Ovis aries: one gene and its partner. The protein of the gene in region 1 interacts with the protein of each later gene in a pairwise test. Links are inferred from orthologs where the notes say so. Each region holds a gene or a part of one and is shown on either strand. Other genes may lie near its edges.

Region 1 (14,876 bases):
GAGACTACAAACGAGGAAGACTTTTCTCCTGGAGCAGCTGCACAGAAACCTGCTGCCTAGGGAGGCGGCAGCTCCCCACCTGACAGCACTCAGGCGGAGGTGCACTGAGGCCTCTCCCAGGCACGACGCAAAAGGGGCCCAAGCCTTAAAGGCAGGTGGGTTTGGGGGACCTTGGAAATCACTTCCAGCTCTGAGATCCTGCAACTCCTGAGCACCTGAGCCCCTTCAGTGAGAACTGTTAAACCCAGTGATTATGCTGATGGGGGCTAAAGGATTTCAGGGAGAAGCGAGCGCTGCGTGGGCTGGAGCAGGGGGAAGGCTTCCTGGGGGCGGGGAGGCAGGGAGCTGTTTCTAGGCGTGGAGCAGCTCCAGTCATGAAGGAGCCATGCATGTGCTCTAGGCAGCTGAGCGCCTTCCCTGTGGCTCCTGACCAGGCTGGGCACCCTCACCCTTTGCCAAGGGGCCAGGAAGGGGCACAGAGCATGGGGCGGAGAGGAAAAGGATCAGGGGGGTGCCTGCAGGATGCAACACTGGGGTGACCGTCTGCACACACCCCAGTCGTGGGCTTCTGGGACACAGCTGGCCCATGTGCACACACGTCTCACTTCTCTCCTTGACCGTGGGCTCCTCGTTCCTTTCTGTACCCCTCCACCCACCCTGCAGCGCTCAGACATCTTTCTCAGGGAATGTGCCAAAGAGAGACCCCAGCTGCTTGCGGGGGTGTGTGCTGACGGGTGGTGGGCAGTGGGAACCAGGCCTCCACCCTTGCTCCCTGGCTCCCGCAGGACAACAGGCAAAGTACCCATGCTTCAGCCCAGCCCAGCCGTCCAGGGCCACACGACACTGTGGTTTACAGGCAACCGTGTGTTCCAGCCCAGCTCTTTCTAGCTACACAATCATGGGCTAGTTAACTAACCTCGCTGAGCCTGTTTCCTCATCTATTCAGTGCTGACAATCAAAGTACCTGATTCCTTCTGCTTATTTAATGTTTTTACTCTTTAATTTTTTGGCTGCACCGCACGGCATGCAGGATCTTAGTTCCCGGACCAGGGATTGAACCCACACCCCCTGCAGTGGAAGCCTACAGTCTTAACCACCGGACCACCAGGAAGTCCCCCTAGTTCCCTTTAGCCCAGCGTCTGGCACATGAAAAACGAAATGTTAGTCAATGTTATTACTATTATTATGAACAAGAAAATGGGAGGGAGCGGGGACACCTCCACCCAGCAACCAAAAAGACAGAAGTCCTAGATCAGAATGTGAGGGAAGAGGAGGGATGCAAACTCCCCAAGGGTTGACTCACCGCTCATACACTGAGCGCCTAAGGTATACAAGGGAGACACCAAACCAAAATGGAGCTTAGTTATTTTCTCAGGGGAAAGAAAAGACATGTCCACAGTTCCAGTCCAAGGGAACACAAAAAGGCCCTAAGTAACCTACCAAGTGTTCTGCAAATCCAGGGGAGGAGGGCTCACCCCCATCTAAGGGTTTGCAATGGGCTTTAGGAGAGAGGCCATGAGGTTTGGCCAAGAACGGGACCAGCAGAGATAAAGGAGAAAGGGGAAAAACCACAGATGAGCAATACAGATCCTCCATCCCCTCCTCCTCTCCGTCCCCACCCCACTTCGGCAAACCCCAGTCACACTGTCAGGACTTGTCAACCATAGAAGGAGGCCAAATGCAATTGGAAATCAAAAGTAGAAAGTGCCTACTTTCAGAGGTGCCTGGCCCCATGCACCCCGATCCTTCTCATACTCTTTCCCAACCAAACACTTACACCTGTGGTCCTAGAAAGTCTTAAGAAATTTTCTTCTCAGTCCTCTAGTAGATAAAGGCTTTCTGTGGATGAGACAGTATCTCTTCCATCAGACTAAAAACTACAAATCAGGGATGTCTCTGGCAGTCCAGTGGTTAACACTCCATGCTTCCAGTGCAAAAGGCTCAGGTTTGATCCCTGATAGGATAACTAAGATCCCACAGGCTGGGCAGTATGACTAAAAAGTAAAAATTAAAAAAACAAACTAAAGATCGGCAAGGAACTCATCAGCTTCCTCTGAATTTCATCCCTCTCCACACTCCTCGTAGAAGCCCTTCAGCCCCTGGTGTGACTGACTTGTGTGTGTATCACCTACAGCTAAGCTGCCCAAACCACCTCAGCATGTCCGCTTCCCAAGGGCACGGGGCCTGGGTGGGGCACCCAAACCTGCCCAGCTCAGCTCCCTAGGAGGTACAGTGCCTTCTATACTATTACTAACCCAACGTTCAGAATCTCAGGCCCTGAGAGGTTATGGGGACAATCCAGAATCAGAGCCGCCTGGCAAATCTCCATCGGCCCCAGGATAAGGAGTCTAATTGATAAGGTCAGAGATGGCACAAGCAGCAACCTAGCCAATCAGAGGGCAAAGGAAAACAAGACACCTCTGGGGTCATAAAGGGGGTAAAGAAAACACCAGGCCAGAGCTGGCACCCACCGCGAGGGGCCAGCCCCGGGGAAGAGAAGAAGCTGGGGGAGGCTGGAACTGGTATCCTAGCATCTTCTGTGTGAGTCTGTACCTCAAAGGAACCACACCTCTGAGTCAGACCTCAGCAACAGCAGGAAATAGAGGGTACAAAAAGACAGGAATGAAGAAGATGGGAAGGCAGTTCGGAGGTAGAGGAGGAAGGTGAAAGAAGGTAACATCAAGAAATGGCCTGTCAGGACACCAGACAAAAAGCAAGGGTGTCCAGGGGTGGCTTGCCTGTGGGCTAAGAAGAAAAGCTATATCTATCTGTGAGGGCAGATTCCCAATTTGAGAATAGTATGGCCCTGGAAAGACAGAAACCCAACACTGGTACAAAAAAGGAAAAATGCAAAGGTTATTCTCAATTAGGAATAAGGGGACGGGCCTGCCCAGATGATGAAAGGTGACTGGTTTAGGATGAACCTGGGAGCGGGGTGATGCCTGTTAGCAACGCTTTGGTATAGAGGAGGCCTTTAAGTCAGGAGACCTGATATTACAGATGGGCCTCCAGGAGGCTGTGTGACCTTGGCCCAGTCCCTTCCCCTGCCCCCCCGGATCGAGGCCTCAGTCTCCTCATCTGTATCATGAGGGATTGCACTGAATGCGCTCAGACACCTTGACTTCCAAGGTTCCATCAGCAGAAGGAAGGGTTCGGTCCTGGTTTACAAGTTTGTGTGTGAAGGAAGAACTAGAGGGAGGGGCCTAGGCCAGATTCGGTGGAGGAGAGAGAAAAGCAGAGAGAGCTGTTCTAGGTCAAGGAGCTTGGCGGGGAGGGAGAAGGTTGCTCTAAGGGACGGTGGAGAAGGCAGGCCCAGGCCCAGGCCCAGACGGGTGAGAAGAGGAGGGTAGAGAAGGGGCTGCGCGGGGCTGAAGAGGGGGGGCTAGTTCTGGAGGGAGGTGCTGTCTCAAATAAGCGCCTGTCCCAAACGGCAAACGGGTGGGGGATGGGGAGGTGATGGGGGGAGAAAAAGCAGGAGAGTGACCTGGGAGCGAAGCAGGATCTGGAGGGAGGAGGTTACCCTGGGCCGGGGGTCGGTGGAGAGGAAGGGAGGTGCATGCGGGGCGGACTCTATCCCGGACAAGGGTGGGAGCTTTCTCAGCTGCGGCAAAGGCTGGGGGTGCGACGAGCAGCGGGGATGGAGGGCTGGCCCCGGGGAGTCCTGCGGGGGCCGGACGGGAGGGTCTGTCTGGGGCTGTCCCGGGCCTGGCTCGGGCCCCTCCCAGAGTTCCGCGCAGGCCCCCGAGGCGAAGGCGCGGGGAAAAGGACCACGCTCACCTTCTCCTTCTTCAGTTTATAGGGCATCTCGGCCCGTCCGGACCCTGCCCGGCTCCTGCGGCCCCGCTCCGGCTCCGGCTTTGCTCGGCCGCACTCGGCCCGCTCGGCGTCTCTTCGCCACCGCCTGCGCGCTGCGCCCGGGTCGAGCGATGTCTGTGTTCCAATTGGCCCGAACTCTTACAAACCTGCCTGACAACCAGGCGCCGCCTCCTCCGATTGGTCGCTGGAAGCAAGCGGCTTCTTTTTTTTCTCATTGGAAAGGAAGAGTACAAACCGCCAGGGTTCGACTCCCAGAATTGGCTGAAGTGGGAGGTCCCGCCCTAAAGGGGGTCGAGCTTAGCGTGAGAGGCGGGGGTCAAGGGAAGCCCGGGCTTTGCACCGAGTGCCGCACTTCGGCGTCTGGTGTGCGTTGTCTTCGGCCATTCTTCGCAGCTCGTTCCGCTCTAAAGTGGCTCTCACTCTTTCCCCACTGCGACTCCGCCCAGTCCGAATTGAAGGAAAGAAGCCTTAAAATGAAGGGTACCTTTCTTCATCAGGGTAACGTGACACTGATTGCCTACGTAAAATTGTAGAGAGCTCCCAGGAGTCCTCGAGGGCCTGTTTCCTAGAGGAGGCTTGAGGAGGATCAAAGGGGAGGCCTGGCAGGAAGGCACCGGGGTGAAATGAGATGAGAATCCAGGATTTGTTCCAGCTTTGGGAATAGGATCCCCATTCCTACTACAGCTGTCCTAGGGTTGGGGAACCAGCTGGACACGAGCATTTGGGAACGCAGTGGACATGCTACCTCATTCTTGAGCGTCTCGGGAAATATATCCCTTACTCTGGTTAAGCCAGTGTCCTAAAGGATAAGATCAGTTCCTGCCCCCAAGGAGTTCACAGCATGGTGGAGTTCACAGCCTTGTATAAACCTATGATTAAGATACAATGTAATAAATTACACCAAACTAGAGAAGTGGCTAGAGGAATGTTTCAGAAAGTCAACTTCCAGCAGCAAGTTGACTACATGAAGACACTGAGGAAGGCTCAAGAATAAGCCTGTGGTCCTTGCCCAAGAGAGCAGTGTTATAGGGCAGTATAGGCATGGAGAAGAAATGACAACATTGGGAAACGTGTAGAACTAACAGGATTTGGTGAGTAATCCGATTGCAAAGAGAGTGGTAAAGGAAAAGGAAGAGCTCAGGATGACTTCTGAAAGCCATCGAAGATGTGAGAGTAAACTGTGTGTCATAGTGACAAAGGAAGTATAAGAGGATTGGTCAGTAATGTCAAATTCTAGAGAAAAGTTGCTCAAGATCGAACAGCATTAAAAAAAAAAAAAAAAGACCGAATAGCATCAGGGCTTCTCTGTGGTTAAAAATCCACCTGCCAATGTAGGGGACACAAGTGCAATCCCTGGTCTGAGAAGATTCCACATGCCACGGGGCAACTAAGCCCACAACTACTGAGCCCACACTCTTAACACCGGTGAGCTGCAACTACTGAAACCCACACTCTAGAGCTCATGCTCCACAGCTCGCAGCAAGAGAAGCCACCTCAATAAGCCTGCACACTCTCAACCAGCGAGTAGCCCCTACTTGCCTCAACTAGAGAAAACCTGCACAGCAACAACCCAGCACAGCCAAAGATAAATAAAATTATTTTTAAAAAGGTTACAGATTATCTTTGCAGGAAAGTTTCAGAAGAATGGAAGGAAGGTTATAGTGGGTTAAAGAGTGAGCAAGAGGTATGGAAGTAAAGGCCAAAAATCTAGGCTGCTAGCTGTCTTACAGAAGTAATTATTTGACTTTCATTGACTAATGATGATTTCAAGATAATGCAGAGTGGACGACATGCTAACCATTATTTGCTCAAGGAAAAACCTATGAGAAAAGCACGTTTATCTGTGAATAGATATTTGCATCTATATGGATGCCAACCCAGGCAGGGTACCAGATATATTTACCCATTTGCAAGACCTCAAGGAACACCATAGCTGGCCTTATTCTGTGTAAAGGAGGCATATTCTCTTTGGAATCACTCCACCATCCTCTCAGTCCTTGGATCTCTGTCTTGGGGACAGAGCCACGTAACAGTTTCAAAGTGAAGTCGCTCAATTGTGTCTGACTTTGCGACCCCATGGACTGTAGCCTGCCAGGCTCCATCAGTCCATGGGATTTTCCAGGCAAGAATACTGGACTGGGTTGCCATTTCCTTTCTCCAGGGGATCTTCCTGATCCAGGGATCAAAACTGGGTCTCACGCATTACAGGGACTCTTTACTGTCTGAGCTACCAGGAAAACCGCTAAGAAAGTGTGAAAGTGTTAGTCACTCAGTCATGTCCGACTATGCAACCCCATGAACTGTAGCCTGCCAGGCTCCTCTGTCCGTGAAATGGGACCGTTCATCCTTGTAAATTCAGGTACCTAGTACATTCTTGAAAGTGAAAGTGAAAGTCGCTTAGTTTAGTCCGAATATTTGCGGCCCCATAGACTAAACAGTCCATGGAATTCTCCAGACCAGAATACCGGAGTGGGCAGCCTTTCCCTTCTCCAGAGGATCTTCCCTACTCAGGGATCGAACCCAGGTCTCCCACATTGCAGGTGGATTCTTTACCAGCTGAGCCACAAGGGAAGCCCAAGAATACTGAATGAGTAGCCTGTCCCTTCTTCAGCGGATCTTCCCGACCCAGGAATCAAACTGGGGTCTTCTGCATTGCAGGTGGATTCTTTACCAATTGAGCTATCAGGGAAGCATGCTGTTTTAAAGATGTATAACTTGGCAATTTCAGGTTTAGGACTAGAGGTACATCTAGTCCTATATCAAACATTAAATTTTTTTTCTTGTCTTTCTAGGGATAGAAATACCTTACAATATGTAAATCTTATAGTAACCTCCCAGATTTTCAGGAAATTTTCAGGAATGCAAAAATGTACAAAGTAGAGGATTGCCTTAAGATGAAGGAAAGGAGAAGGTTGGGCAGAGAAGGCAAGAAAGAGAATGCAAGGTCCAGAAAGAGGATATTGCCACCAACCAATCCATTGATTCTTTTTAGTTTTCGGTCACACTGAGCAGCATGTGTGATCTTAGTTTCCTAGCCAGGGATCAAACCTGTGACCCCTGCAATGGAAGCACTCAGTCCTAACCCCTGGACCGCCAGGGAATCCTCCAAGCCATTGATTCTAAATGCAAGTATACTGTTAATAACTGGGAGTGTGGCCAGCTAGTGTTCAGGTGTCTATACAGAGCAGTGGAGGTGTGGACAAGGAAGGACTGTTAAGTAACAGCCCAGATGAGAAACAAGCTGTTGGTCTGGTACTCAATGACTGAAGCCTTGAATCTCTCTCTCCTGCTTCATCTGCTGTTCATTCCTCTCTATGGTGGAAATGGGAATGGATCTCCAGTCTACAGGGAATGAGGAGAGAGAACATCTAGTTTTGGAGAGATGAGAAAGGGAAGCTGCTTTGTGTTTGTTTCAAGTTTGGTGGGAATAGAATGAACAGGACAATAAGCAGGACAAGAAACACTGGAACGTGGGTTTTGTGTAGAATGTGTTGGAACAGGTGTGGCAGCACCAAGCACTACAGGGCTACATGAATCATTTGCAGTAATTCAGCCAGCAGCTGCTCCACATCCAAATGCCTGTCTGAGACATATAACCCTACCACTCCCTCCTGCAACCTTCCCGCAAACCTCCAAACCTCAATGCCTATAGTTCCACGAGTGGACACCTTCCTAAACACTATACCCACAGCTCCCAGCAGTGGGCCAAGTTTGGTCCAGGGCACAATGATCGTTCACTGATCATTCAATAAATTGTTGAGGACATGCCCGTGGGGAGGTTAGTTGGCAGACGTTACTCCCCAGGCGGGCGCGGAAGGTAAATCCCTGTACACACGTCTCACAGGCGGTGTGCGTGGACCACCCGACCACAGTGACTGTGTGACTGCCACCGAGGCACCTTTCAGATCGATCCAAGGCGCAGCTCACCCTCCTGGAGCACGCCCTTGCACCCGCCGCCCCGCCCACTTCCCTAGGGCCTCCCCTGCCGGAAGCGGAAGCGGCGTGTGATCCTCCGGGACGTCTAGCTCTCAGGCTCAGGAAGGCGCCCTTCTTCGCTGTGCTCTTTGGTCTCCTGTCACCATGGCACTGGCAGTCTTGCGAGTCCTGGAGCCCTTCCCGACCGAGACACCCCCTTTGGCGGTGCTGCTGCCGCCCGGGGGCCCGTGGCCTGCTGCAGGGCTGGGCCTAGTGCTGGCGCTGAGGCCTGCAGGGGAGAGCCCGGCAGGGCCGGCGCTGCTGGTGGCTGCCCTGGAGGGACCCGGCGCGGACACCGAAGAGCAGGGTCCGGGGCCCCCGCAGCTGCTGGTTAGCCCCGCGCTGCTGCAGCTCCTGGCTCTGGGCTCCGGGGCGTGGGTGCGGGCGCGGCCGGTGCGGCGGCCCCCGTCGCTGGGCTGGGCGCTGCTTGGCACTTCATCTGGGCCCGGACTCGGACCGAGAGTCGGGCCGTTGCTGGTGAGGCGCGGAGAGACCCTGCCCGTGCCCGGACCGCGGGTGCTGGAGACGCGGCCGGCGTTGCAAGGGTTGCTGGGTCCAGGGACGCGGCTAGCTGTGACTGAGCTCCGTGGGCGGGCCAAACTGGGTCCAGAGGCTGAGAACAGCAGCCGGCTCCCTCTCCCGCCGGTGGTGTCCTCCTTCGCGGCCTCTGGCACAGTCCGGCGACTAAGGGGCGTTCTGGGAGGGACTGGAGATGCACTAGGGGTGAGCCGGAGCTGTCTCCGCAGCCTCGGCCTCTTCCAGGGCGAATGGGTGTGGGTGACCCGGGCTGGAGAGTCATCGAACACTTCTCAGCCACATCTGGCCACAGTCCAAGTCCTAGAGCCTCGCTGGAACCTCTCTGAAAGACTGGGACCCGGCTCTGGGCAGCCGGGAGAGCCTCTCGCTGATGGACTGGCCCTTGTGCCTGCCACTCTGGCTTTTAATCTCGGCTGTGATCCCCTGGACGTGGGAGAGCTCAAAATCCAGGTAGGATACAGGACTGAGATCAGGAATGCTTCCTCCTCTTTTTCTCTTCTTTGCCTTAACTGAATTGGAAGATGAGAGCTGTAAAATTTAGATCCTTTACTCCTTAGAACTTGGACTTTTCCCTTAACACCTCTTAGCCTTATTTATCCATTCTCTACAATTAAAACATGTTGGTTCATGGAAGGGCTTTCACTGTTCAGGTGAAAGGTAAGAATTACAGCCAAATTACCATGTGTCTTAATGTACTAAATCTAGTCAGTTATTTGCTAAATTGTTGCAATGTATCCAGTATTGTGGGCTTCCCAAGTAGGCAGAAATCCACCTGCCAGTGCAGGAGGTGTGAGTTTGATCCCTAGGTCAGGAAGATCCCTTGGAAGAGGAAATAGCTACCCACTCCAGTATTCTTGCTTGTAAAATCCAATGGACAGAGGAGCCTGGTGGAAGTTGGACATGACTGAGAAGGCGCACACACACATCCAGTATTGTATTGGGTAGTATGGAAAATCATACCCCCATCTTTTGCTCATGCTGTCCTTGACTTCAAGTTCCCTTCTATTCTGCTAACCTTCTCCTCCTTCAAGGCCCTTCTACAGATACCACCTGCTTCTTAAAGCCTTGCAAAATCTCACACCACAGATTTAACATTACTTTTTCCTATAGCATTTCGTACCTTTCCAAGAGCTTTTATTTTATAGTTTTGTTATGATCACGTACTCTAATTCTCAATTGTATATTTGTCCTTGAAGGGACGGGCTTTTTATTATCCTTAGTGCTTGGTGTTTAATTTTAATATTAGATTAAATACATCCAAGAGGAGTTTTTGCTTTCTACTTTTAAGGAACTTACTTCCAGAAGATAATTGTGTTCAGGGTGACAAATATAGTCTACTGTTTAATTAAGCACCTGGATGTATGATTTAGGCCTACACTGACCAGTACAAAAGCTGCTAGCCCCTGGCTGGTTCTTTAAATCAACTGAAAGTAAGTAAAGTAAAAAATTCAGTTATTTGATTGCTTTAGTCACATGTTGCGTTCAGTAGCCACATGTAAATATAGAATTTTTCTATCACTGTAGAAAGTTATATTAGGTAATGCTGGCATAGCCAGTTAGTGCTGTGGAATGTCAAGAAGAGAGAAAAGATGTGCATGAATGGGAGTCAGGTGTGGCTTTCCTTCTAAATGGAGGAAAAATACTGGACTCAGACAGGAGCTCATTCACCTGACCCCGCCCTTTCGGCTTCAGTGTGATCATGTCCTTTACCTGGAGCCTGAATTCAGTGTCCTCACTAATGTCCAATTAATGTTCCCAGTGGCTGCGTGGTGTCACTCAAATGACTTGTGGGAGTTAAATGTCTTTACCATTTCACTGGCTCTGGGCCAGTATAAAGGTGTCACAGAATGGTTATCATCACTGGTGAACTCTTTGGAGCTAGAGTCAGGAAAATCAGAGTCAGAAGTCTCTTCCGGGTGCCCATTAGAAGGAGAGGTTTCTGTTTTCTAAGGAAGATATAGGTCTTCAGCTCTCCTCTCTTAGGTCTCCCGTCTCACAACCCTTGTGGTTATGGGAAGGATAAAGGGTGAAAGTAGAAGTGTTGGTTGCTAAGAGACTGGGCAGAGCCTGAGTCCTTGGGAGAAGGTTCTAAGGTGGTGATTATTTCTCTCATAGAGGTATTTGGAGGGCTCCAGCACCCCTGAAGACAAAGGAAGCTGCTCAGTGCTGCCTGGGCCTCTGTTTGCCAAAGAGTTACACATCGAAATTGTGTCGTCTCCTCACTACAGCACTAATGGAAACTATGACCATGTCCTTTACCGGCACTTTCAGACACCCAGGTTAGCCGCTTCCCCCTTGCAGGAGGGTAGCACACCACCCTCAATGAACTCCTCCTATCCCAGACCTGAGATTCAGATACCAGAAAGCCTCTGATTTTAAAAAGCCACAGTTTAAGGCAGTACGTGGCTAGAAGCCTCCTGGTGTGTCAGATAGTCAAGAGAAATCTGGGCCAGGAGGGTAAATCCAGACATTCTAGATTGAGAAACCACTTTGATTTGAGGAGGCCCCCCAAAAAGCCAGGATCCTGCTTTGCCCCTCTCTCTGTTCTCTGATCTCCTCTCTGCTGTATCCCAAAGCTCTTTCTAGGTCAGGCTTCTTCTCTGGACAACTGCTTGGGGTCTCTGGGTGGGCAGTAGGCCCCCGAGAAACAGTCTGCAGGTTGAGGGCATGTGGGGATACGTCAGGCGCCTGCTATTTACTCCCATTGTGAGCTGACCAGGGCTACCGCTGTGTTACAGGGCAGTCCAGGAAGGGGATGTCCTGTGTGTGCCAACAGTTGGGCAAGTAGAGATCCTGGAAGGAAGCCCAGAGAAACTGCCCAGGTATGGAGCTGCCTCCTCTCCTGCAGCTGGGATTCTTAACCTGCGTGCAGGAGTCCTCAAGTTGAATGGAATAATTCTGTGCATAAGAACATTTTGTTGTTGTCATGCATGATTTTTGGGAGAGAAGGTACCTACTCTCATGTTCTCAAATAGGCGTGTGACTGAAAAGAAAATTAAGAGCCACTGCCTGCTGGCTTTGGGAGGTGTTTATCCTCAAATTGATTGGTGGTCCTAGGTATAGTAAAGCACTAAGAATGGTTCAATGGCCTAGTCCAAGGTGGGATTCCTCACTTTCTTTTTTTTTTTTTTTTGGCTGCACCTCGTGGCATGAGGAACTCCCCCAACCAGGAATTGAACTCACAGCCCCTGCAGTGGAAGCTCAGAGTTTTAACCCCTGAATCTCCAGGGAAGTCACCCCTGCTTTCCATTCTTTTTAAAATAATTTTTTATTTGTGTGTTTATTTTGTTTTTTGGCTGTGCTGGGTCTTCATTACTGTGTGGACTTTTCTCAAGTTGCAGAAAGCGGGGGCTACTCTCAAGAGGTGGTGCGCTAACTTCTCATTGCTGTGGCTTCTCGTTGCAGAGCACACGCCCTGGCCATGTAGACTTCAGTAGTTGTGGCTCCCCAGCTCTGGAGCACGAGCTCAATAGTTGTGGCACACGGGCTTAGTTGCTCCACGGCATATGGCAGCTTCCCTCACCAGGGATCAGATGCGTGTCTCCTGCATTGGCAGGTGGATTGTTTACCGCTGAGCCACCAGGGAAGCCCTGCTTTCCATTCTCAACCAGTGCAGTTTGGGCCACACCTCCCGTACACTGAGCCAGAGGAGCCCCGGTGCCATCATGATTTCTGCTCTAATGGATGGAATGTGGACATGCTGCTTTGCAGTGTTGTCTCCCAAGACAGGAGAGGAAGGGAATTGCCCTTGAGAAACCTGCTGTCTTTCCTTATCCTCAACAGAGAGTGAGAAAGAGAGCGTAACTGAGCCAGGGACCTAAAACAAGGAGGCCAACCTTTCTCCTCCTCCTGTTGATTCTTACTGCAGAGACTGCATATGAAATGGTAAGGCAAGGACTTCCTGTGGTTTAGACTGCACTCCCGATGCAGGGGGAGCAGGTTCAATCCCTGATGGAAGAACTAAGATCCTACATACCACATGGCGCAGCCAAAAAAAATTCAGAATTCAGAGACTGCTTGGCTATATGTGAAGGGGGAAAATGTATAGCTTCCTACCCCCAGATGGATTTCCTATAAGGATTTATTAGAAGAAGGAGACACTAACCCAACTTTGCAGGAAATCCCAGTGAGGTGGTGGGACCACCCTGCAGAAACTTGGGCACAAGAGCCATCATACCCAGGGTCTCAGGCCGAGCCAGCCTGGGTCCTCTGCTAAGAGAGCAGTGCCTTGTTTGGAGTACCTAATTCAGCTTTGGTCAACATTCAGAGCTTGGTTCTGGCCAGTGCTCAATCTCTGCAGTTTCAGGGCTGTGGTACCCAGAGGAGGGGCCTGTGGTGCCATGTGTAATTCCATTTGGTGCTCCAGGGTGCTTCTTTGAGCTTTCCCATCAGATTTACAACTGGAGCCTTGTGGAGAATGCCCGGCTGCTCTCCATCACTTCCAACTTCTGTTATCCATCTTGTGTGTGTGCATGCTCAGTCGTGTCCGGCTCTTGGTGACCCGTGGACTGTAGCCCACCAGGCTCCTTTGTCCATGGAATTTTCCAGGCAAGAATACTGGAGTAGGTTGCCATTTCCTGCTCCAGGGGATTTCCTGACCCAAAGATTGAACCCATGTCTCTTGCATCTCTTGCCTTGGCAGGCAAATTCTTTACCACTCTGCCACCTGGGAAGTCCATCTTAAATAGAGCAACTGTCTGTGAGCTAGCTCTCTGCAGGAAAGCTGCAGAATGCCCACTTTTTGTACTTTGAAAGGAAAACAGGCACTCGACCCTCCTGAGACAGACCAGTAAGCCAGTCCTGTTCCTGGACCTCCACCATACCAGCCCCTTGGAGGCCTGCCTCCATCCTCTGGGTGCTGAGCATGTAGTTCTGAAACCTCTGGGTAGGTTTGGAAAAGTAGAGCCAGGTGGGCAGACAGGTTCAAGGACAGAGATGAGTGCTGTACCCCCTACTCCTTGGACTTGGTAAGAGGCTCCCTGGATGGAGGTTCCCCTGATCCCTGGCACGGAAGTTCACTGGCATTGGTGCAGCTGGTCCGTACTCCCCGTGCTCCACCTCCCACACCAGGCCGGGGGCAGGGATCGAGCTCCACTGTCTGCTGTCTGGCTCTCAGGAACGCAACCCCATGTTCCCCAGCAGTGTCCAGATATGTTCCAGAGGTCTGGCCAATCTCAAAGAGGTGGCCCCATCCACTCTCCGTGGATGGAGAGTTGGGGCGGAGAGGAGCGGGAATTGTGAGGGGGAGAGGTGGGCGTGTCTCCCTGCCCCAGGGCTCTTCCTCCTTGGATTCCATTGGCTGCTAGATGCATCTGACTGAGGTGGTTCAGCTTGATTGAGAGTCTAGGTTGTAGACTCACCCTTCACTTATTTATGGGCTTCCCTGGTGGCTCAAACAGTAAAGAATCTGCCTGCAATGTGGGAAACCTGGGTTCGATTCCTGGGTTGGGAAGATCCCTTGGAGATGGGAATGGCAACCCACTCCAGTATTGCTGCCTGGAGAATCCCATGGACAGAGGAGCCTGGCAAGCTACAGTCCATGGGGTCCCAATGAGTCGGACAGGCCTGAGCAACTAACACAACACTAATTTATAATGAATAGCAGTAGGACAGGGAATTACCTGGCAGTCCAGTGGTACAGACTCAGTGTTTTCATTGCCAGGGCTGGGTTCAATCCTTGGTTGGGGAACTAAAATGCCACCAACCGCACAGTGCAGCTGACCAAACAAACAGAAAAAAACAGTGGGACAGCTTTCCTTATGTTCCAGCTCTTTCACAGCCTCTGGTGGTAGTCCCTAACCTAGTATGCCTCCCCTTCCACCCGAAGGCGTTCCCACCCCCACCCCTCTCTGCTGCCAGAGCGAGCAGCTGTGTGACTGTGGGATACTAAGCAAAGGAATTTGTACCCCAATTAGACCTGAATGAGGCCTAGGCTCTGCCATTGCCATGCTGCCTGAGAATTAAAGACGGGAGTAGTTCGTCTCTGTATCTGGAAAACTGGACTAGTAATTGCTGTCTGCTACCCTCACCCTCTTGGTAGGCTGAGTAAGCCTAACTCATTCTTAGACTAGCCAGTGACTGCACAGCCCTGGTTATGGCTGGGAGCTTTTAAAAAATAAAAATGCCTGAGCCCCGCCCCAGACCTATTAGAGCAGAATCAGGGTTAGGCTAGAGCCTCTGCAGTCTTTTTATTTATTTTTTTCCCAAAGGAAGGAAAATGTTAATTGTAAAATTCAGATATAATTCACATACCATAAAATTCACACTTTTAAAGTATATAAGTCAGTGGCTTTTAATATATTCACAAGGTTGTACCATCAACATCACTAATTCCAAAACATTTTCCTCAGCCCAGAAAGAAACCCCCACCCACCAACAGTCACTCCCATTCCCTCCTTCCCTCAGCTTTTGGCAACCACTCCTTTACTGAATGGAATCACAGAATGTGAGAGATGTTGGGTTTTTTTTTAAGTTTCACAGATAATTCTAATGTACAGCCAAAATAGAGAAACATTAATCACTAAATGTCATTATGAAGGAATCTGCTT
Region 2 (14,843 bases), on another chromosome or scaffold:
GCCTACTTTCCAAGGACAGAGGAGCAGAAACACTTGTGTGTTATTCGAACAGCAGAACATAACTGGAACAGGACACAGAAAGGGGGGAGCCAGCAACAGGGCATGCCAGGGATGCAGCAAAGCTGGTGAAGGAACCAGCGAGGCAGAGCACGCTCCATCACCTTGAGGGCGGCGGGGGGCAGCAGGCGGGAGAGGGCAGAGACACTTCCCCACACAGCCCCGCTTGGCCACTGATGGCTGGAACACTGAGCTCAGCCCAGGAGGCAGCTGCCAGATCCCCTTACCCAGTTAGAAGACGACCTGAGGCTCAGGAAGCCACGCTCAGTGTGAGCAGAGGGCAGCCCACGGCACATCTCGGGGCTGGGCAAGGAGTGGGGAGTGATAAGCCAGACTAGATTATGGAGCCTGTCCCAGGAACCACCTTCAGAGCTAAGTGTTCCATGCAAGTGAAAGGCCAAGGTCCCCCAACCAGGACCTTGCTCTGAATTTCCAGCTGCGTGAACTTCTGGCCTGAAAGACCAACCCCTGCCTCTGCAGGAAGACGGATCGTGTCAAGGAATGCCAAGGAGGAAGCACTCTCTTCCCACAACCCCTTCTCTGCAGGGCTGTGCGTCTCCACAACACCTGCCAGGCCCACCAGAGCGGGGCACAAAGGGGAGGGTGTTGAGGCAGCCTGACACGGTGCCCCTGGAATTAGGCTGGCCGCGCTGGCAGGGCTCATCCAGCTGCAGGAAACAGGCTGCCAAGGACGAGCGACTCTGCTCCTCCGGCAGGCTTCAGGTGCAGGGGTTTGAGGCGAGCAGGGAAGACCACTCAGTGCTGGATGGGAAGCCGGCAGAGAGGAGGAGACACAGCCTCGCGGATCCGCTGGAAGATCTGAGCCAGCTTGTAGAGGAAGGGCAGGGAGCGCGGAGACGCTGCAGGGAGAGGCCAGTCAGTGCCCGCCCTACCCCTCCTGCCCCCCACGCGGCCACTCCTCCCCCCAAAACCATCCCACCTGGGGAGTGACCATGCCACTGCCCCTCCTCCTCTCCCAACAGGAGAGAACTTCCCTTTCTCCAGAATATAATCTCTGGGTTGTATTTTCTTTATGTGGATGAGAGAAAACTTCAGTTTGCTGAGAAAAAGATCCAAATTTATTATGTTTTAATCTAACTTTTTAATACTAAAAAGCTGGTAATGATGGCTGCCTATATGTAAATGAATTTGGGAAGAGACTTTTCACTGCATTCCTCTTTGTACCTTTCAAGTTTGAAGCCAAGCCACAATAGTACCTCTTTTTATCATAAGTTAATTATATTAACAATAAAAGTAAAAATAGCCTCTTTTGAATGAGAGCTGAGCTGGCTTTGGCTGGTTTTTCTTTATTTGAATTACTGATTTTTTAACAGACTTTCTTCCTTCTTTAAAAGAAGTATGTTACTTTTAAGAAAGCTATTCCAGTCCACCTTCTTCATGTCCTGCTGGGCAGGTTCTAATTGCAGCCAGCCCGGGCTCTCACCAACCTGCATGGACTGTCCTGAGTGCTCCTGGAACAGCCCTTTGCCATCCCTACTCAGAAGACCAGGGTTCTGAGACTGAAGGACTCCTAAGAACCACAAAAATCTTTCTAATTTTTACTAAGTCTCTGGAATAAAGTAAAAGGTCAGAGGGTGGACAGGACTGAACACAAACTCCTCAGCTTTCCAAAGGGCTAACCAGTGACTCTCTCCTCAAGCAAACGGAGCTGTTCAGAGGGATCTCCTGCTTGGTACCAGCCATGGGGTCAAAGGCACAAGCTGAGCTGTGCAGAAACAGCCCCCGGACAAGAAAAAGGGAAGTGGGGATGCAGCAGGATTTGGGGATAAAGGAAGAGCAGCAGACAGAACGTCTGCGTGACCCTGGAGCAGTCACTTCTCTCTGGGTCTTAGGTTTCCCAACCGAAAAAGAAAACCAAAGTGAAGGGATTGAATGAAGGGTTTCCAGTTCTCCTTTCAGTTTTGAAAGTTATGCAACCCTAAGTCTAAATTCATGAGAAGAGGTTAGGTTATAACTCACACAAAGCCACACACAGAAAAGTTCATGAGTGAGCTCCTAACCTCTGGCCCAGTGCTCACAAGGTCTGAGGAATTCACCCTCGGGAAAGAGCACAGTAGAAAACAGCAAGAAATCATCAAAATGTTCAGAGGTATCACCTCATACTGGTCAGAATGGCCACCATCAAAAGTGAAAGTGAAGTCACTCAGTCGTATCCAACTCTTTGCGACCCCATTGACTGTAGCCTGCCAGGCTCCTCTGTCCATGGGATTTTCCAGGCAAGAATACTGGAGCGGGCTGGGCTGCCATTTCCTTCTCCAGGGGATCTTTCCAACCCAGGGATCAAACCAGGGTCTCCCGCACTGTAGATAGACGCTTTTACCATCTGAGCCACCAGGGAAGTCCCCCCTCCCCGCCCCCCGCCAAAAAAAAAAAAGTCTACAAGCAATAAATGTTGAAGAGGGTGTGGAGAAAAGGGAGCCCTCCCACACTGTTGGTGGGAATGCAAATTGGTGCAGCCATTATAGAGAACAGTATCGAGGTTCCTTAAAACTAAATACAGCTAGCATGTGACCCAGCAACCCCACTACTGGGCATATATCCAGAAATAAACATAATTCAAAATACACGTGCACCCCAATGTTCACAGCAGCACTGTTTACAACAGCCAGGACATGGAAGCAACCTAGAGATCCTTTGAGAGAGGAGTGGACAAAGACGCAGTACACACACAGTGGACTATTACTCAGTCATAAAAGGGACAAACGAAATTTGTAGAGACATGGATGAACCGAGCGGGTGTCACAGAGTGAAGTTAAGTCAGAAAGAGAAAAACAAGTGTCGTATATTAACACATATATTGTGCAATCTAGAGAAGTGGTATAGATGACCTTATTTGCAAAGCAAAACTAGAGACACAGACGTAGGAAACAAATGCATGGGTGCCACGGTGGAAGGCGGGAGGGAGCTGGGAGAATGGGATTGGCATACATATACTATCAATACCATGTGCAGAATCAAAGCTGGGCAGCACGGGGAGCTCTACTCGGCGCCCCAGTGGCCTGAATGGGAGGGGGGCCAAAGGGAGGGGGTATGTACACACACAGCTGACTCACTGTGCTGTGCATCAGCAGCTAACACAACGCTGGAAAGCAACTGCGCTGCAATAAAGATTAATCACACAAAGAAACAGCAAGGAATCACTGAACTGTTCAAAAACAGGGCACTGTAAAATCAGTTATGGAAGTTACTGAAAGCTGGAATATTATTTAGTCGTGTAAAGTTTTAAAACCTTTTTTTTTTTTTTGGTGGGGGGAGGGCCACAATTCATGGCTTACAGAATCTTATTTCCTTGACCAGGAATCGAACCCAGGCCTACAGCAGTGAAAGCATGGGGTCCTAACAACTAGATTGCCTGGAAATTCCCTAAAGCCATGTTTTAAAGAATGCTTATAGGGGGATGAGGAACTGGAAGAAGACTGTCAAAAAGTCCTTTTAGTTATAAGATAAATAAGTATTAGGGATGTAATGTACAACATGATGAATATAATTAACACTGCTGTATGTTACATACCAAAGTTAAGAAAGTCCTAAGAGCTTCTCATCACAAGGAAAAAAATTTATTTTTCTATTTAAAAAATTTTTTATCTACATGAGAGGATAAATGTTCACTGTACATACTGTGGGAATCATTTCATGATGTATGTAAGTCAAATCATTATGCTCTACAACTTAAAGTGATGAACGTCAATTATATCTCAATAAAACTAGAAGAAAAAAAAGAATATTTAACAACAAGCAAAACTGCATCTACATCCAGAAAAAGACTAACGATTACAGCAGCTGACTGAAGAGTGATTTGTTTTCTCCTTTATACTTTTCTCTATTTTCCATATTCTCTAAAATATATTTTTCCTATTGTAATTGTATTTCTACAATATAATATGTTTTAATTTAATGTAACTTTTTAACACATTATGATGAAGCTTTCTTTTTCCTTTTTTAATTCTGAGGGGACTTCTTGGTGGTCCAGGGGTTGAAAATCTGCCTGCTAGTGTCTGATCTCTGGTCTGGGAAGACCCCACACGCTGCAAGGCAGCTAAGCCCATACACTGCATCTACTGGAGCCCGAATGCTCCACAGCCTGGGTGTGGCACCACAACTGCTGAACAGCCCCTGCTTGCCACAACTAGAGAAAGCCTGCGTGCAGCAACGAAGACCCAGCACAGCCAAAAACAAAATAAACAAACCCTGAGGCTCTACTCAGAGTTCACCCCAGAAGTCCGGAGTCGACAAGGCAGAGAGGACTTTCTCCAGGACTGGTCTCTCCTTCAAGGTGGGCTGGCTCCAGTTTAGGTCCAGTAACAAAACCCCCAGGAGGGCTCCCAGGCCCAGCCCTGGTCAATCGCCCTGTCCTGGGAGGGTGGGTGGGGAGGCAGGTGTCCTCACTCACCTGGATCAAACCTCAACACCAGGAGGCAAAGGAGCAAGGCGGCCAGCAGGCTCTTACTGAAGGGCAGAGAAAAGAAGTGGCTGACTGCAGAGTCCCAGAGCTGGCGCAGCAACGTCAGCAGAGACAGGAACTTGTAGGAGGAGGAGCCTGGTGGGGAGACAAGAGTAGAACTTCAGTAAAGAAGCAGTTTCCCAACTCTGAGCTTTGAGTGTAAGTCGAGCCAAGACTGGTTTCCTCATGCAGTCCACAAAATGGTTGGAAGGGAGCTCCCAGGCATCCAGAGATGCCTTCAGCACTGATTATATCAGAACACCAGCTCCATCCAAGAGGACTGTAACGACACCAGACACCACCGCCACAGGAGAGGGCTCTGACATTACCAGACTTCAGCTCCACAGGAGAGGGCTCTGATGTCACCAGACACCAGCTCCAGAGGAGAGGGCTCTGACATCACCAGACACCAGCTCCACAGGAGAGGGCTCTGACGTCACCAGACACCAGCTCCACAGGAGAGGACTCTGACATCACCAGACACCAGCTCCAGAGGAGACGACTCTGATGTCACCAGACACCAGCTCCATGGGAGAGGGCTGACATCACCAGACGCCAGCTCCACAGGTGAGGGCTCTGATGTCACCAGACACCAGTCCCACAGGAGAGGACTCCGACGTCACCAGACACCAGCTCCATCCGAGAGGACTGTGACATCACCAGACACCACCTCTGTAGGAGAGGATTCTGACATCACCAGACACCAGCTCCACGGGAGAGGGCTCTGACATCACCAGACACTAGCCTCATGGGAGAGAACTGTGATGTCACCAGACACTTGTTCCACAGGAGAGAACTCTGATGTCACCAGACACCAGCTCCACAGGAGAGGGCTCTGACGTCACCAGTCACCACCTCAGTAGAAAAGGACTCTGACATCACCACACCAGCTCTGTAGGACAGGACTTCAACAGAAATGTCAACTTAGCTGGGGAACCTGGTACATCTGGTGTTTCTTTAACAGCTTCACAGTATTCTTCATATTCTGGCCTAAGATATACGCACAGTTACATAGCAATAATTCCTGATGATCAGTAAAGGCAGAAAACAAAGGGCACCTCACAGGCACAGTGAAGAATCCCACCTTGGACTGAGCACAAACATGAACGACACCGCCAAGCCCTGAAGACACCCTGGACTCGCCAGCCGAGCGCCTCCTCCCCGGCACTGGACAGGCAGAGGGTCGGTGGAGTTACATGGCGTCCCTGAAGCCAACAACCTCCTGCAAAGACGTGACCCTGCCCCAGCAGGTCCCTGCTCTCAAGCACACGAAGAAAACACCTCAGAGGCAGGATCAGTCTCCTGAGGGCTGAAGGTCCTCCGTGTATGCCTATTCTATGTGTCACGAACAGAGAAAACAAAGATCAGGGGGTTAAAAACTACCAGGAGGAAAACTGCAACTCAGCATCAGGAAGAACCTCCCCACACAACCCTCCACAGCTGAAAGGCACTGCTTCAGGAGACGGTGAAGTAACATCCCGGCCAGGCCAGCACAGTGGCGGCAGGTCTACTGACAGGAGCCCAGGGAGGAGATGACTTTCAGGAGACAAAAGTAAGGCTCTGAGACCTGCACCACCTGCCTCCCAAAGCCAACTGCAGAGGGGCTGGGCTTTCGAAGCACCTCAACAGATTTCTTATCCCGCAATCTGGAAGTTACTCAAAGCATTGTTCCCAAGGCCCAGGAAGGTCATGATGGACCCCACGTCCAGGAGGAAGCCCTCAGCTTCTGCACAGAGGGCTGCAGAAGGACAATGTCCCACCTTCCTGGCTTAGTGTCCGCGTCTCCTCAGAGCCAGAGTGCACATGTGTCTGCTGCTGCCTCGCTGCACTCACGGCCTGAAGCGCGTCCAGCCGCTGTTTCTCGCCGAAGGCTGCAGAGCCCACCACCAGCTCTTCAGCCTCTGACAGGAGGCCCAGAGGAAGTAGCACTCGCTGCAGGTGAAGTTCTGCTAAGGATCTATACTCTGGAAGGCCCTGGTTGTCAGGGTCTTGAAGCCAAGCACGGACTCCATCCAGCACGGCTCCAGGCTCTTGCATTTTGCTGTATAAAAGAACGCTGCAGCCCCAAATAATCCAATCCCAGAAAAAGAGTGGTCAATGCTTCACGGTTTAACTTCTCATAACCACTAAACTCCTCCTACCCAGCCCCTCCTTTGTGCCCTCAAGTCCTTCCCTAAGGGACACTGACACGGTAAGAATCAGGAGTTCTTAGAAGCAGCAAGCAACTCTCAGCTCTGGCACCCCCCACTTCTGTCACCCCACTTCATGTCTCCCATCCCTTCCTCTTTTCCCTATCCCACTCCTAAATTCCTTCTTCTTCATCTTTTCATGCATATGTTTTGAGTCTGGAGGGCGCCAGGGGGACAGGGGATGGGGGAAAGGGAAAGAATTAGATTTAAAGGGAATGGTATGGAAAGAAAAAGAGGAGATATGAGAACTGAAGGGGTGTGCTGTGCTTAGTCGCTCAGCCATGTCGGACTCTGTGTGACCTCATGGACTGTAGCCCGCCAGGCTCCTCTGTCCATGGGGATTCTCCAAGCAAGAACACTGGAGTGGGTGGCCATGCCCTCCTCCAGGGGATCTTCCCAATCCAGGGATCAAACCCAGGTCTCGCGCATTGCAGGCAGATTCTTTACTGTCTGAGCCACCAGGTGAGCTGAAGAATACTGGAGTGAGTTGCCTATCCCTTCTCCAGCGGATCTTCCCGACCCAGGGGAAAACCCTCTTGCTCCTGCGCTGACTCAGTGGGGAAGCAGTAAGGACCTAAGGACCTACCACAGTTCCAGGACTTTGGGGGGCAGCCTCTCAGGAGCCTGGTAATATTGAAGAACCCAGGACAGGACTTCCCGCCACCGATCCATTTCTGCCAGGGCCTGGATGCCCACAACACACAGAGAGCATTTCACCTCCAAGGAGCTGTCAGCAAAAAAGCCAATTTGAGTTCAGAAGTGGTTCCCCTGCACTGCCATTCCCACCTTTAGCCTGGGACTGTTCTTTACCAGCTCCCAAGTCAGTAACCATTACCTCTCACCTCCCCCCATCCCCAGTATTCAAGAGGGCCTCACAATTATGACCCCTCTCATGAGCCCCAGCAAGAGAAAACTGCTCTTTGCCCAGGAGCTAAACGTTTCTATAAATCTAAAGGCCAATCAGCTGCTGACCAGCACATGTCTCTGTATCCAGGTAAAGTCAGGGTTAACCAACAGGAAGCGTTCATTTACTCCCAAGGGGAAAAGAACAGCTGCAGTACAGATGTGGGTGGAAAGAGGACCAGCCCTAAGAGTTCGCTTAGTGAAGAAAGGGCAGAAGCAGTCTCCGCCAGAGCGCAGCATCAGAATCACACCCTCAGCCTTTATAGCACTCAGTCTTCACCGACCCCCAAACACTCAGCGAAGGCTCCCCAGTTCATCCTTCTCTGGGGCCAGCTTTGACCAGTCTACCCACGCCCTCCCTAGTGCGACCTAATCCAATGAGCAACGCAGGACCAAGATTTCAATTCTTTGATCCAGTCCTACAAGAGGACCGGAACACGACTCCTGCTCTGAACCCCAACCCGAGGAGTGAGGGGGACTACTTCGGGGAGGGGTGGAAGGAGAGGACGTCTGCCACCAGCTTACTGCAGTAATTTAACACATCAATTCTATCTTCCCATTAGACCACTCTACCCTGGTATAGGGAGAAAGAATTGATCGTGGGGTCCCACTAAACCCCGTTCACGTCTTGACGGTTTCCTCCCCGGAGAACCAGCACAAGGTGAGTCCCTGCCTCGCGGAAAAGCATCGCGAGGAAAACAAGGCATAAGGATCACACAAGCAACCACACTGCCGGAGTGCTGGCGTTTGGAGGCCTCCCACTGTCCCCGGAGGCGAACCGAGCCCCTGACGTACGCGCCCGCCGGCTCCTCCGCCAGGCCCTGCCAGGCGCGTTCGCAGGTGCGCAGCGCCGCGCCGAAGTCCAGGTGCACCACCAGGAGGTCGGCCGCCTCCTCCAGCAGAAGCGCGGCCGCCGAAGGGGCCGGGACGGCACGCACCGGCTCGCTGCTCCGCAGGGCGCCCCCGAGCGCCCTCAGCGGGGCTGCGGAGGTCGCGGGGTCACTCTTCATGAGTGCGCGCCAGGACGCAGCCCTCTAGGGGCGCGGGGTGTGCGGTGCAGTCTGGGGAGGAGGAAGGGGTGGTCCTCACAGGCTGCTCTGGCACGGGACAGCCTGGCGCCCTCGGATTTGTGCAGCACTGAGTCCCTGGGCACCCGGTCCCACGACAAGGACTGGGACCCCGGCTGGAGTATGGCCGCCCGTGGTCTCAGGTGCAGGGCCGCCGCCGCGGGGTCGGGGACACAGGGGCCGACATCTTGCCTGCGCGCGCAGGCCCGGCCGACGCTCGGTGCCCGGAGGCGCAGGGCATTCTGGGAGGTGTAGTTCCGCTCCTGGAGCTGTCGTCCTCCCGGGCAGGCGAGGGACTTCGGACTACAAGCCCCGGCAGGCCGTGCCCCGGAAGTTGTTGCGGCGAGAGGAAGCTCGCCGACGGAAGGCGTGGACCCGGGTACGAGTGGAGGCGTGGGCCTCCGGCACCTGCGCCCCAGGTCTCCAGGATGCAGCCCCGTCAGCGGCCAGTAAAGGCAGTCCGTGTGCCGCCTCCGTCGGACCCCCGTCGTGCTCACGGTCAGTCCACAGTGGGACTCCAAACCTCTTGCCAAATAGAGATCTCGTGAAAAACAGCCGTACGGTGTGTGATGCAGTTTGCAATAAAGCCCTGGCACAGAGCACGTATTCCTTACGTTATGGCTGTAATAGTAATTATTAAGTGGTTGTACGCAGACACAAGTTACGTTTATTACTGTGCTTCACTCAGGGTTTTCGGGGCTTCTTAAGTTTGTACTAAACCCTAGGTTTCCCAGTTCCTATCCTGAGGGCTCCTGAAGCGACTCCTCTTTGATTACACGAGTCAGGCCAGGCGCAAAGTCAGCACCTGATCGCGCCAGCGTCGCCTTCTCTGGTCACCAGCCTGGGCCCTCATCTCTACATAAAGTCCTCCCTGAAGGCTGAGGCAGAAGCATCAGATCCGTCAGACTCTGCGGATGAGGAGTATGGAGCCATAACCATATAAGGCCATAAAGCCAGGCCTTCACTCACTCCGCATATACCTAGCACCCTGTAAGTGCCAGGCCTTCTTCTAAAGGCTGAAGATACCACGTGAACACAGGAGACAAATATCTGCCTCTGTGGAGCTTCCATATAGTGAAAGGAAGCAAAATTAAAAATAAGTAGTATGTCAGATGGTGATAAATACTAAGGACAAATAAACAAAATAGAGAGGAGAACTTGAGAGTGACAACGCTGATGACACCTAACTTTGTTTTCTAATGGTAAATCCGGGGCTGGAGAAGAGCAGAGAGAACCTGGCCCTGTGCTCAGACTGGCCTCTGTTGGTGGGTTCACTGCCCTTGGGACCAACATGTACTTAGTGTCTGCCCTAAATCCCTCTTCATCTCCAGGCAGTATTTGTTCCCATGTAGCAAAATCCAGAGGCAAGCAGGTTTCTGGGAGGTGTGGATCGGTTCAAGGCTGAAGTTACCAGGATGTGTTATCAGTTATGCCTGGGGTCTCACAGCAGATAATGAAGATCAGTAGAAATAACATAATTATTGGACTTAAAACAACCAACCAAACAAACAAAAAAAAACCTGTTTCTTAGAGCTGGTTTTAGACGTCATTCCTGTAAAATCAGGGAAGCAGTAGTAGCATCAGGAAACAGATGTGATCAGGCCTGGGCGAGTTGGGACTAGCACAGTCAAGCCTTGGCCTCAGGAGTGCCTCCTGAAAAAGGTCCTTTTCTTAATCCCTAAGGAGAAGGCTCTTGCTATGCCCAGGCATCTCCAGGAGACGGCAGCACAGCCTTAAAAGAAGCTGACCTGCCAGCAGGTAGGTCTGTGGCTGCCAGAATGAGGTCAAGATATTTAAGGAAGTGGAAGCTTGCAAAAAATAATATAAAAATAGGATTGTGTTCTGTTTCCGTGTTTCATCCGATCTTTGTGCGGGGCCGCACAGTGGTCTTTCATCACATAACTTTAGCACTGCTATGCCCGCCAACCGATCCCTGAACACCAGCTCGGTGATACTCCCTAGCTCCATCTGAATGTATCCAGAACTTCTCAAGCTAAGATACAGCAATCCTAATTTATTCCACCTGAATTAGAGTGAACAGATGTCTTAACGACTTGGGGCTCATGAGTCAAGAGCTTTGAAAGCACCTCAGGACTTCACAGGTGGCCCAGTGGTTAAGAATCCACCTGTCCATGTAGGAGATGTGGATTCAATTCCCAGTCTGGGAAGATTCCATACACTGCGGAGCGGCTAAGCCCAGTGGCCCAGTCTCCACAACCACTGAGCCCACATGCTGCAACTGCTGCAGCCTATGCACCCTAGACCCAGTGCTCTGCAACAAACACCCAGGGCAGCCATAAATAAGCAAATAAATGTATTTTAAAATAAGCAAACCACCTAGCCTCCCCTAGGGATAAAAGCAGAAACAAGGCAGTTCTCTCAATCTGTAAGGCCTGAGTCATGTCAATATTTGTATCAGTGGAATCGTTTCGGGAAAACTAGTAGAGTAAGTGAGACACAAAACTCACACGATATCCATCCCCCAGCCCACCCAAGCCCTGGGACCTGCTGCTCCCCCTTCTGCTTGTAGGGTGCTCAGTGTATCTTGCCTGAGCAGGGTCCTGAGGGTGTCGATTTGCTCTTTGCTCATCTGCTCTGAGCAGGTGATGAGTCTGTGTTTCTGTAGCAGAAAGTGCTCCAGTCTAGGAGATGAGCTATGCCATCTAGAATCCTGGGGACCTCTGCAAAGTCAGATGAGTCCTCTGAGCTTCAGTTTTCTCATTTGAGGACATTGACACCAACACTTGCCGTGTGGGGTGGTTGTGAGGATCAGAAGAGGTCATATGACAGCGCCAAGAATGCTTTAAATCACTGGAATAGTTCAGGCCAAACAAGGTGAGATGATACACTGGGAGGTGAGTAAGGAGGAGAAAGAATCCAGTTCCTCCTCAGAGTTCTGTAATCTTAACTTTCTGACATGGAATCTGACTCTTGACTCTTCCTTACAAAGGTCAGATGCCAACCTCTGGAGCCAGCCCAGCCTGTCTGCCCTTTCCAAGCTGGCTCTATACTTAGTGACAAGAGACTGCATCCACACAGCTGCCCCTCTGGGCTTATCTCTTCCAGTCGGAGACCCTCAGTACAGGGACGTCAGTGGTATGGCTCTGCAGGCAGTAGAATCACGCCTGGTGTGGACTTTGGCCAGAAGCAAGCCGAAGAGATAAATATTGGCAGGGCGGAGGTGATGTTTTTCCAGGGTGGTCAAGGGCTCCAGACCTTCGTCAGTGAGATGGCATTTTTATGGCTCCTTTTTTTAAAGCCTGGACTTGGAGTTCAGGGCAGAACTGAACTGAACCGGCTCCTCCCCTCCATGTAGACGCAGCAGAGCCCTCCCTCTGCCTCTGCGTCCAAGGCCTGTTCCTTGTCCTCCTCCTTGTCCCGTGCAGCACTTACAACATAGTAACAGTGGCTCAGAGAACCAGGTGCTGCTCCAGGTACTGTACGTCCAGCTCCTCTTAATCACCAGCAACCCTGGGACAAGAGTCCTGCTGTTACCTCCACGTTGCAGATGAAGAGGCCAAGGCAACAGGTAGTCACACAGGAGTGCAGAGCGGGGCTGGGACTTTAACAGGGCAGTGTGGCTCAAGCCTTTCTTGTAAGCTGATAATTCTGACTGTACAAGGCGCTCTCACTCATCCTGTGCGAACTTGATGACAAAACTGAGCAAAACAACACAGATATGTTAGTGTTCCTAATGGTAGATGGGAAAGTAAAGCTCAGAAACTGTCTGAGTTCAGAATTCATGGTTTCAGTGACAAAGCTGGAGGAGTCACTGGAGATTTCTCACCAGAGCCCATGCCAGGACATTCTCCAGATGGCCAGAAGTGACTTCTCCTCCTCTGCTCTCAAGGTGACCAGTACCACCCCTACCCTCTGCCCTGGGCAACCTGCCCTCCAATTTCCACATGTTCCCACCCACCCTGGGAGCCAGAGGGTGCACCTGAGAAAATCTTCATGATGCCAGACCAGGCGTGATGTGAAGTGAATAACGGATGCTCCCTGGGTACTGGTCAGCCCTGCTCAGGTGGAAAGATGTTGGGCCCTTCGGAATCTGTCCTGCTTCCACGCAATTCAAGCTGATCGCTCCTCTCTTAAAACCCCCCACTGTGCTTTGCTCTTTTCATGCCTCTCTTGTGGGTCCTTCCCAACATCCATTTTTCTTGTAGTTATTTGTGTCATTCCCCTAGTCAACCATGCCCTTCCTGAGGACAGGACAGGAGCCCCCATCTCAGGATCCCTGGGCATCTGGCATGGTGCAAAGTGCTAGGTGTGGGCTACTCCAAGGGACCCACCTGCCCTGAGCTGTTCTGCATCATTTGATCTTGACTTCCAGGTATGCCCACTGGTGAACACTGTGTGAAAGGTTGGAAGCCGAGGAGATCATGTCCCAACGCAGCCCCCGAGAAAAGAGAGACACGTGGTATTTCCAGATCCTGGGACGCCCACCTGCCTTCTTGTCTGTGCTTTCTTCCTTGTTTCCTAGGAAATAATCTAATAAACTCAGTCACCCCAAGTGATAGAATTTCAGGGTTGAACAGGGTCTTATACTGGAGCTGAGCTGAGGCTGGGGAGGGGAAGCGACAGCCACTGTCCCCCAGCTGAAGGCCACAGAACCCCTGACCCATTCCATGCCAGAGAGGAAGGACCTCGCCCTGCCTTAAAATGTTTCCTCACCAGCCCAGCTATTCCCAAGCTTTGGGGTAGGTCGCAGCATCCAGAGCTGCTGTTCATGCCCAGATCCTGGCTAAGAACAGCCACCCCTGTCCCAGGGCTCCCTTCCTCCCCTCCCAGAACAGCTCTGGTTCCCAAAAACCTATGGTTTCCTGTAGCAGGCCAACCCTGGGAGGGGAAAACTGATGGAAGGACCCTCAACATAGTGTAATATTCTAGGAAGTTGTGTATTTATCTGAGATAATGCTGCAATTGTTACCAGTCAATAGATTTTATTTACTAGAGAAATATTCCAAAACAGGATTGATGCAGGGGCAATTAAAGTAGTCTTTGGGGACTTCCCAGGTGGTGCAGTGGATAAGAATCTGCCTGCCAATACAGAGAACACAGGTTCAATCCCGGGTCTGGGAAGATCCCACATGCCACGGAGCAATTAAGCCCAAGAGCCGCAACTACTGAAGCCCACTCGCCCAGAGCCCATGCTTTGCAACAACAGAAACCACTGGATGGTGAACCCACAACAAAGAGCAGTCCATGCACTCCACAACTAAAGAAAGCCCTTGCAAAGCAACAAAGACCCAGGGCAGCCCAAAATTAAATAAAAACAGTTTTTAAAAGTGGTGTCTTGTATTTAAAAGCTTAGGAACCACTGATAGAATCTGTACGTCCCAAGTTATTTGGGGAAGTTATTTTCTTAAATGAAACTTAAGGTCAGCAAGTCCTGATTCAGGTATATGGGTAGTGGGGGAGGAGGAAGATTGGGGAGGGGGGAGGATTTCCAGAAATCATCATTTCACACCTGGCCCAGGTGAGGGCAGTAGAATGGAGAGGGAAGGTGAGAAGCTCAAAGAAGCGCAGGACAGCCTTCTGAGCTCTGGCAACCTCACTCAGTCCTAAAATTGGGTTTCTTACTCAGCCAACCGCAGCAAGTAAAACAAACATTTGCCCAACATTGTCCCATGGGTCTAGGGCCTAAAAGTAATTACTAGAAAATAAACAAGAGGAACTACAGTTGCCCTTTGCATCGGCTTAATTATTCTTCTATTTTTTGGGCTCCAAAATCACTGCAGATGGTGACTGCAGCCATGAAATTAAAAGTCGCTTGTTTCTTGGAAGAAAAGTTATGACCAACCTAGAGAGCAGATTAAAAAGGAGAGACATTACTTTGCCAACAAAGGTCTGTCTAGTCAAAGCTTTGATTTTTCCAGTAGTCATGTATGGATGTGAGAGTTGGACTATAAAGCTGAGTGCTGAAGTACTGATGCTTTTGAACTGTTGGATAAGACTCTTGAGAGTCCCTTGGACAACAAGAAGATCAAACCGGTCAATCCTAAAGGAAATCAGTCCTGAATATTCATTGGAAGAACTGATGCTGAAGCTGAAACTCCAATACACTGGCCATCTGATGGGAAGAGCTGACTCATTAGAAAAGACCCTGATGTTGGGAAAGATTGAAGGCAGGAGGAGAAGGGGACAACAGAGGATGAGATGGTT

What was found.
Region 2: the proteins of PEX6 (region 1) and PEX26 come close enough for resonance energy transfer, tested with the Homo sapiens proteins (2 studies listed by BioGRID). The link is inferred for Ovis aries from reciprocal best matches to the Homo sapiens genes PEX6 and PEX26.

What each region holds. Positions count from the first base shown.
Region 1 is NC_056073.1:16,614,362-16,629,237, reverse strand, and holds the start of PEX6 (peroxisome biogenesis factor 6), read left to right. Parts: upstream 1-7,830; 5' UTR 7,831-7,896; coding exon 7,897-8,778; intron 8,779-10,443; coding exon 10,444-10,607; intron 10,608-11,066; coding exon 11,067-11,150; intron 11,151-14,876. Other genes in the region: PPP2R5D (serine/threonine-protein phosphatase 2A 56 kDa regulatory subunit delta isoform), read right to left, coding at 3,778-3,804. UniProt on the Homo sapiens protein: Component of the PEX1-PEX6 AAA ATPase complex, a protein dislocase complex that mediates the ATP-dependent extraction of the PEX5 receptor from peroxisomal membranes, an essential step for PEX5 recycling.
Region 2 is NC_056056.1:215,183,707-215,198,549, reverse strand, and holds the start of PEX26 (peroxisome assembly protein 26), read right to left. Parts: upstream 8,887-14,843; 5' UTR 8,622-8,886; coding exon 8,407-8,621; intron 7,436-8,406; coding exon 7,295-7,435; intron 6,576-7,294; coding exon 6,280-6,575; intron 4,616-6,279; coding exon 4,469-4,615; intron 918-4,468; coding exon 814-917; 3' UTR 1-813. UniProt on the Homo sapiens protein: Peroxisomal docking factor that anchors PEX1 and PEX6 to peroxisome membranes. PEX26 is therefore required for the formation of the PEX1-PEX6 AAA ATPase complex, a complex that mediates the extraction of the PEX5 receptor from peroxisomal membrane.